2 linked regions of the Astyanax mexicanus genome follow. The protein of the gene in region 1 binds, or shares a complex with, the protein of each later gene. Links are inferred from orthologs where the notes say so. Each region holds a gene or a part of one and is shown in the gene's direction. Other genes may lie near its edges.

Region 1 (3,926 bases):
CCATTAAATTATAGAATTTCTTTAGAGGCCATTTTATATTTTATATTTTTCTCAATCACAACCCCGATTCCAAAAAGTTGGGACACTGTGCAAAATGTAAATAAAAACACAATGCAATTACTTAATATAAATAAAAAAAATAAATCTTATAGACTGACATTTTATTCACAATAGAGCATTCAACACATCAGTCAGTGAAAGTAAGACATTCTACCAAAACATGAATTCATTTAGAAGCTGAAGGCAGCCACAAATTTGGGGGCAGGCTTGTGTCTCTGAGTGCGAAATTTTATCCCATTCTTGTGTGTTATAGCATTCCAACTGCTTAACAGTCCTGGGTCCTCTTTGGTGGATTTTTTGTTGCCTTTTTGTGAAAGGTCTGGATTGCAGGAAGGCTAGTTCAATACCCAGGATTTTTTCTGTGAAAGTACACTGTTGTGATGAATGTGGATTAGCATTGTCTTGCTGAAATATGAAAGGCCTTTTCTGAAACAGACATTGTGTGGATGAGAGCATATATTGTTCTTAAACTTCTGCATATTGTTTACCTTTTTTATTTGTGGAAGCTGCCAATGCCTTAGGCAATCCAATACCATCAGAGACACAGGTATATAAACTGTGCACTGATACCAGCCTGAATAGTCCCTCTTTTCTTGAGTATGCAGGACATAATGTCAGTGGTTTTCAAAAAGAACTTCATATTTTGATTAATCTGACCAAAGAACATGGTGTTTAAATTATGCTTTGTATCTGGATTGTGATGACATATTGCTTATTCTTTGTATTTCTGGGTTACATGGAGTTCACAGACAATGATTTCATCATTTTCTCGTTAATTTTATTTTAGAATCTACTAAAAAATGGTGTACTGTACCCTTTTTAATGATTAATTGTAGATATAAAAAAAATATGCTGCAACTTGATGGGCATTTTCCTAGTAAAGTTATGTAAAACTGAATTTATACATTAAAATATATAAAAAAGTGTTCTTTATAGTATTTCAGGATTGTACTTATTTCCCCCTAAGAAATATACAATAAAAATGCATATTCCATGTGTCTATGAGTGCCAGAATATTTGCATATGATAGTATTTTACATAGGCTACACTCTGTATTCTTCATTCCTTCCTTTAACAGTAATTGCAGGTTTTCCTCTCTTCAGACTAATTCAACCTGTGCAGTGTCTGAGGTTAAGCGTGATCGTGCACTTTTCATCCAGACCAGGCTGTAATGCAGTTTATATGATATAAAATCAATATAAAATGTGTTTAATGTACTACTGTTTATTACAGAATCTGGTCTGGCTCATATACAACAGTGTATGGTGTTAAAAATCCCTTTCTGTATTGTAATTTAAAGAGAAAACTGTACAATCTTAATGTAGCTATACTGCACAATATTGATTAAGATAAAGATATATTAAAATAACTTAAAAACCTTTGAACTAAACTATCTTAAATATATATTCTCTCTATACAGCCACTGGTCTAAGTTCAGTTCATGCCGGAGTTGAGTTAATGCTTCTCTAGCTGCACCTGCAGAGCCACAGGTGAGCATGAAAAGGGCGGTGCCTTCAGGTAAGTCCTATCCTCACCTGAGCCGCTATTGGGCACAAGGAGGAGCAATGCCTAAAGGAGGGACAGCCATAGATGCTATATACATGCCACATTCTGGCTGAAACTTTAAGTGATTACAGAAGAAAAGTGGGTAGAAGTATGAAGAAATCATCTGACATGGCAGAAAATTGGCAGATAGTTTGACAAAGTAAAGAATTACAAGGTCAGAAAGGACAATTAAATGCTGGTGGTTTCTGGCAGCAAGTGACAGCTAGAGAAAGAAAGGATCGAAGCTAAAAGAGACTTTATTTAACTTTATTTGAAAAATCTTCGCAACATGGTACTTTTACCACGGCTCAGCCTGCTCCTCACGATCCTGTCGGTCTTCGGCACGCTGTGTCGTGCCAACAGCAGTGGTTCAAGCTCATCAACGGCCACAGAGTCTGAAACGGCCACTACCAACACTTCTACTACCCTCACAACTCTACCCATCGTCACTTGGAAATGGCACCACATAGAAACTCCTTATTTGGTGGCCCTGTGGGTTCTGGTCTGCTGGCTTTGTAAACTAGGTAAGCATCATCTGGAATCTTTCCTTGACTTCTGAAGAGTTTTGCATCACTGATGGATCATCACTGTATTGTGATGATACAGAGTCTAATTTGATGTGCCTGAACAGGTGCTATGTCTATGACTGAATTTTAGAGTGCGTGTGATTTAAATGAATAATTTTTACTAACATAGACTAAACATTGCTTTAACTGACACTGGATAGACTATTTTGTTACACACTTGTAGAAGTAACCAAAAGACATACAAACATAACAAGGGTTATTTAATTTCTCAAAATGTTCATTGTGATTGCAGTTATTTACATTTTGTCATTGCTATTGATCTATACACTATGCTTTTTTGTTAATTAAATGTTTCTACTTATAAAATGATAGTATGTTTGAAAGAGAATATCTGAAATGTGCCTGGTAAAGTGAACGTAGTGCAACTTTAAAACTTTAAAATCTTTTAAAATCTATTGACTGACAGCTGTTCCAGACATACACTTGTTATAAATTCAGAATATCTTAGGGCAGATAGTTGTTTAGGTATTTGATGTAATCATAGAATAATAATCTGTATAATCCATATTTAAAATGTAACAAAAGTCTAGGTTACAGACGATAAATACATTTTCTGTTCTTCTTAGTACGGTGATTTTACAGCAAGAGTTATATATAAAGGATAATAATGCAGTACTTATGGTGTATGTGGAGGTTCCATTCATTAACATGAAACATGAAGATTCTTCACACTCACACAAAATAACTTCTATATCATCTAAACTAGACTTTTCTTAAATAATAATGCACTGGAATGTTCTGTTGGTAACCTAAACGATTTCCCAATGGCATCAATCCAATGATGATAATGGAAGAAAACCAAGGGCAGTTCTCCGAACATGGATTAATTCCAGTTGTAGACAGCATTTTTCTTTTAATGGAAAATAAATTAATGGAAGTCTAAACTAAATCCCTGACTGGGAAATTTTATTATGTTGGACTATGTTATGTGATGCAATGAAATGTAAATCTATTATTTAGATGCATTATTGTATATTACTGACTAAATTAGAGAAGGACTAAAATGATTTCAAGGAATGAAACCAACTCACCTCCCCGTGCACTGTGTATAATGAGTCCTCAAGGGTGTCTGCAAAAGCAGTGGCCCATTTACAGTTTGCCCACAATGAAACTAGTAATGATATGTGTTTGTTTTGTGTAAAGATCTATTATTACTATTATGATGATGATGATGATGATGTAAAGTAGTATTGATTGTAACAGGCTCTTTCAACCTGAACTGAGTCACACTGTGAGTAGTTTTCCATAAAGTGTTCTATATTGTATTGTAGTAGAATCAGATTTCAAGAACTATTAGAACTTGAATTACAGGTCATAGCAAAGGACGTACGTGAGTGAGTGAATGTGTGTGTGTCCCTAAATAAAGGGAGGGAGGTAGGACTCTTTGAAGGGTCATGTAGAAAGGGCAGTGTGAAGTTATAGAATGCTTGTTTAACCTGCTAATTAATGTTCCATTGAATGGTAGACAGTAATTCAGCTTATGAACCATTTTCTTATTTTGGCTATGTCTGCCACCTAGAGGTCACATTGATGCAGTGCAACATTCTTTGCAATACATTCTGTACAGACAGATTTTTTATAAATCTTTCGAAACAGGTCATAGGTTGTTATAAACTGATTATTTACACTTTTACACTTCAAATCATGGAATAATAGAAGATCAAACATGAAACTAAAAACTACAAAATTAAAAGATTAACAATGTGATGATGCTTATTCTTAATTTCAAGTAAG
Region 2 (3,926 bases), on another chromosome or scaffold:
TATCCAAACAAAAATTGGAAATTTAAAAAACGGACCAGGAGCCGAATTTGATTTTGATTTTGAACTTGACCCATTTGTGTGCCCTGGAAGTTACTGATTTGTTTATTCTTGGTGGGTTTCTGTTGCGCGGGAGTTCACTGCAGTGTTATCTACACAGTCTGTATTGCTGTAGGCAGCATGGCCGGACTGGAACCACATTCTGGCCTAATTAAAGATCTTTTTGAAGGTATTAACTAAATATGACATTTAGCTACGGAACGTTAGACAAACACCTGAAAGATCCTGCCGATTTTTTCTGTTGTCATATCGTCTTCTTTCACTGCAACGCGTTTAGTTCCTCTGAACAAGATAAAACTCTCCATCCTCAACTCCATCCAAAGCCTACAGCAATACAGACTGTGTAGATAACACTGCAGTGAACTCCCGCGCAACAGAAACCCACCAAGAATAAACAAATCAGTAACTTCCGGGGCACACAAATGGGTCAAGTTCAAAATCAAAATCAAATTCGGCTCCTGGTCCGTTTTTTAAATTTCCAATTTTTGTTTGGATAACCAAATAAAAATACAAAATACAAGCCGTTATTCGTTTTTTGGTATTATATTCAAAAACGAAAAAACGAAAAAACGAATTGGTTTTTTAATTTTCCGATTTTGATTCTCAATTGAATATCAAATGAACGAATGATACACGGATTGATGCGGTCTCCTTTCAGAGCGGATGAATCCGAATCCAGGTTATGTTCAGTCAGAGAGAGAGAGTTTGCTCAGTCAGAAACTTAATTAAGTTAAGGGAATTGTCTTCAAAGGATATAAGAGAGTTATTATATACGGCTGTCAGTTTTGTGAGTGTAAAGTAAAGACGCCTGACGAGGCCAGAAGAATCCAGCGAAAAGTGATCTGACACCGCAGTTTTAGAATTAACATATTAGGCTTAGCAGGGATGGTCGATGCAGCACACTGGTTCCATCAAACACAATATTTTTTTTCCATTTTCCACTCAGAAATGCTTCTGATTTTAGCTTAAAAAACAAAATAATAGACTGTCTCTTAAAAGAATACCATGTAGTAAATATGTTATAATTTGCTAAATAAAAAAATGCTATTTCAATAATAAGCATTTTAGTAACAAGGGAATAAGCTATATACATATATTTTTACATAATAAATGTTAAAATGTTGGGGTTGGAAGGAAAAAAATCGTTTTAGGGGAAACGTTTTATTAATGCTATAAAACTGACTTTATTTTAATAAACACATATTAGTTATTATGAACAAATAAAAAAAACATGCAAGACTAAAACAAATTCTCTTCTTTACATTTGTTTGTTAAACAAATCCATCATAGTTTTTGTTTTAGAAATGTGGTATTTTTTATTGGTTGTACAATTTTTTTAAAGCTTTTCATGACATTATACTTCAGCCAAAAAACACAGAATTTGTGCATTCAATGGTGAATTCTTTAAGAATCCTGTGGGGGCTAAAATATAATTTAATAGGACGGCAGTGACGCAGATGGGGCGTTGACGGGCCACGCCCACGGGGTGTCGACGTTAGCTGACGTCGCGCAGAGTTTAAGGTCCAGAGTGTTCACCGCAGCTCCAGCGCTCCTGGTTTTCAGAGTGTCTGTATTAGATCAGCGGTACAGGCAGTGTACTGGAGTTACTGAGGTTATAGAAAGCTGCAGCGGTGTGTGAGGGCCGCGCTGAGGGTAAACACGCTGCGGAAATCGGCTGGCTGTGGTAGTTAGCTCGCAGGCTAAGCGCTAAGCAGGCTAAGCCTCTGTCTGAGTGACCGTTAGCTTACTCGGCTAGCGAGCAGCAGCGGAGCCGGAGCGGAGCGGGGGTTTCAGCTGAACTGACCGCGGGCGGAGAACCATGGGCTCCAGAGCGTCTTCATTACTGAGAGAGGAGGATATAGAGGAGATTAAGAAGGAGACTGGCTGTGAGTATTTATTTAAACGTTGTTAGAACTGAGACTGTTACTTATGTTACTTCGGTTAGCATGTTAGTTAGCCAACTGTACCCTGAGGGGACTCAGTAAAGTAGTGTAGAGTCATTGTCCACTAGTTAGAAGTTCTAATAATATCTGTGATAAAATAATAATTTTAATAATAATTAATCTAAAGGAACATAAAAAACTAAGATACATTTTGTAACTAAGAGAATGATTTATTGAACTGGGGGAACAAATTATAAAGCCGCAAACAGCGATTCCAAGTTGGATTATACCATCAAATTTGTGTTATAAGATACAAAAATGGACAAATGTGAAAATCGAGATAAGATTTAACCTTTTTCATTTTTCTTAAAAAAGGGCAGAAAAGGAAAAACTAAATAATTAAAAAAATTTCTGCCTTACTAAATGGAAAAAATAATAAGTTTTATACCAATTTTCTATTTTCGAATTTAGATATGGTCAGAAAATTAAAGTGCTAAACGTTACACTGACCCAGATGTGTAATAAGTGTAATAAATCTGAGGTAGCAAAAGACCTGGTCATTAAACTATGATTTATTGAATTGAGGGAATGATTTATAATAATAGTAAATAATAGTTATTTATATTAAAAAATAAAAGTTATGCAGCAACTCCGTGGTCCAAGCACGAATGAGCCCGATGAGGCCCAATACTTCAGTGTGTGACCATTCCTGAGACAGCAGCCACATTTTGTGTAGTTTGTGCTTTGTGTTGATGTTTTTTTTTTTTAAACATTTACGGAGATGGAGGGAAGGATGGGGTCACTGATGATTAGGGCACATATTCTTTTCAGAAAGCAAAATATGAAATAAAAGAAAATTATACTTTACGAGCTTTGTACAAAAAACTTTACTGGAGTGTGGTGTTTACCTGCAGTTTTGCAGTTATACAGTAGAATATCACAGATGCTGGAGCTATGTTGCTCTTTTTGATCTCATATTTCTGAACTGTCCTTGTTTCTTGCTGTTTTCCTCAAAAATATTAACCAAGCTGAATGTGGCGTAACACAGCTTCTCTGTTAAACAGTAGCCTTCACACACTGCTTGCATGTCTGTGGTTTTGTTGCACCACTTCTTAGTGTCCAATGCAGTGTGTTTGTCAGCTGTTCTTCCCCTAATTGTCACCTTTTAATGGAAGCTCTGACATAACATAGTTCGTACTGTTTGAGGGGAAAAATGCAGATAATGTGCTGGTGTCATTTTATGACTCATGCCAGGCAACAAAAGGTTTCAGTTGTTATTTTGTCCCTTTTTTCCAGAAAACACATAATTAGTGAACGTAACAGTTCATGGCAGTTGTTGTGTTTTACCCTTTTAAAGTTCTCTAATGAGAACAAGACAGGACATGTTGCAGGGCAGCCCAATACACTCTTCTTCTGCAGACATGGCTTTTTAATGTTTGCATCATGTGGTTTTGCATTGTCAAATGCAAGGACCTCCTTGAAAAAGAAGTTATCTTGAAGGCAGCATATGTTGCTCTAAGAAACGCTCTGGTGCCATGACAGACCCTGACTTTAAAAGGTCTGAAATAATGACCACAAATACTCATTTCCACTGTGCGATGGTCCTTCTCAGATGCCTTCAAGCCCAGAAGCCGATGCTACTTCTGAACACGGTTCATACAAGGCTTCTGTTTTGCACAGTAAAGTTGTAAGTGGTATTTGTAAATGCAACTGTTAAATTAACCCCTTGTCGATGGGGTTCTATCAGCTATTGTTGAATGACTGTTCTTGATGCAGTGTCTTCTGAGGGGTTGAAGATCACGGGTATTCTAGACTTGCTTCTTTGCCTTTTACACACTAAGATTCCACCCGATTTTTTAATAGTTTATGATACTATGCACTGTAAAGGGAGAAATGTGAATCCCTTCCAGTATTCCTTTGAGAAATATTGTTTTTAAACATTTGTTTAAAACTAGAGAACCTCATCGTTGCTCAACAAAAGATGAA

The links.
Region 2: the proteins of sodium/hydrogen exchanger 3 (region 1) and chp1 are in contact, whole or in part, in a cryo-EM structure (PDB 7X2U), measured with the Homo sapiens proteins. The link is inferred for Astyanax mexicanus from reciprocal best matches to the Homo sapiens genes SLC9A3 and CHP1. Residues at the interface, in NP_004165.2 of Homo sapiens: Tyr396, Arg397, Met398, Gln400, Glu402, Arg474, Leu475, Asn476, Glu477, Leu479, His480, Gly481, Arg482, Ala483, Phe484, Asp485, His486, Ile487, Leu488, Ser489, Ala490, Ile491, Glu492, Asp493, Ile494, Ser495, Gly496, Gln497, Asn501, Arg504; in NP_009167.1 of Homo sapiens: Arg30, Leu31, Arg34, Leu38, Lys40, Glu49, Phe51, Gln52, Arg53, Ile54, Glu56, Leu57, Ala58, Ile59, Asn60, Pro61, Leu62, Asp64, Ile66, Phe70, Phe83, Leu87, Phe90, Leu115, Phe117, Ala118, Leu121, Tyr122, Leu135, Leu139.

The regions. Positions count from the first base shown.
Region 1 is NC_064410.1:30,485,490-30,489,415, reverse strand, and holds the start of sodium/hydrogen exchanger 3, read left to right. Parts: upstream 1-1,684; 5' UTR 1,685-1,894; coding exon 1,895-2,129; intron 2,130-3,926. UniProt on the Homo sapiens protein: Plasma membrane Na(+)/H(+) antiporter. Exchanges intracellular H(+) ions for extracellular Na(+) in 1:1 stoichiometry, playing a key role in salt and fluid absorption and pH homeostasis.
Region 2 is NC_064414.1:59,137-63,062, forward strand, and holds the start of chp1 (calcineurin B homologous protein 1), read left to right. Parts: upstream 1-1,561; 5' UTR 1,562-1,876; coding exon 1,877-1,943; intron 1,944-3,926. UniProt on the Homo sapiens protein: Calcium-binding protein involved in different processes such as regulation of vesicular trafficking, plasma membrane Na(+)/H(+) exchanger and gene transcription. Involved in the constitutive exocytic membrane traffic.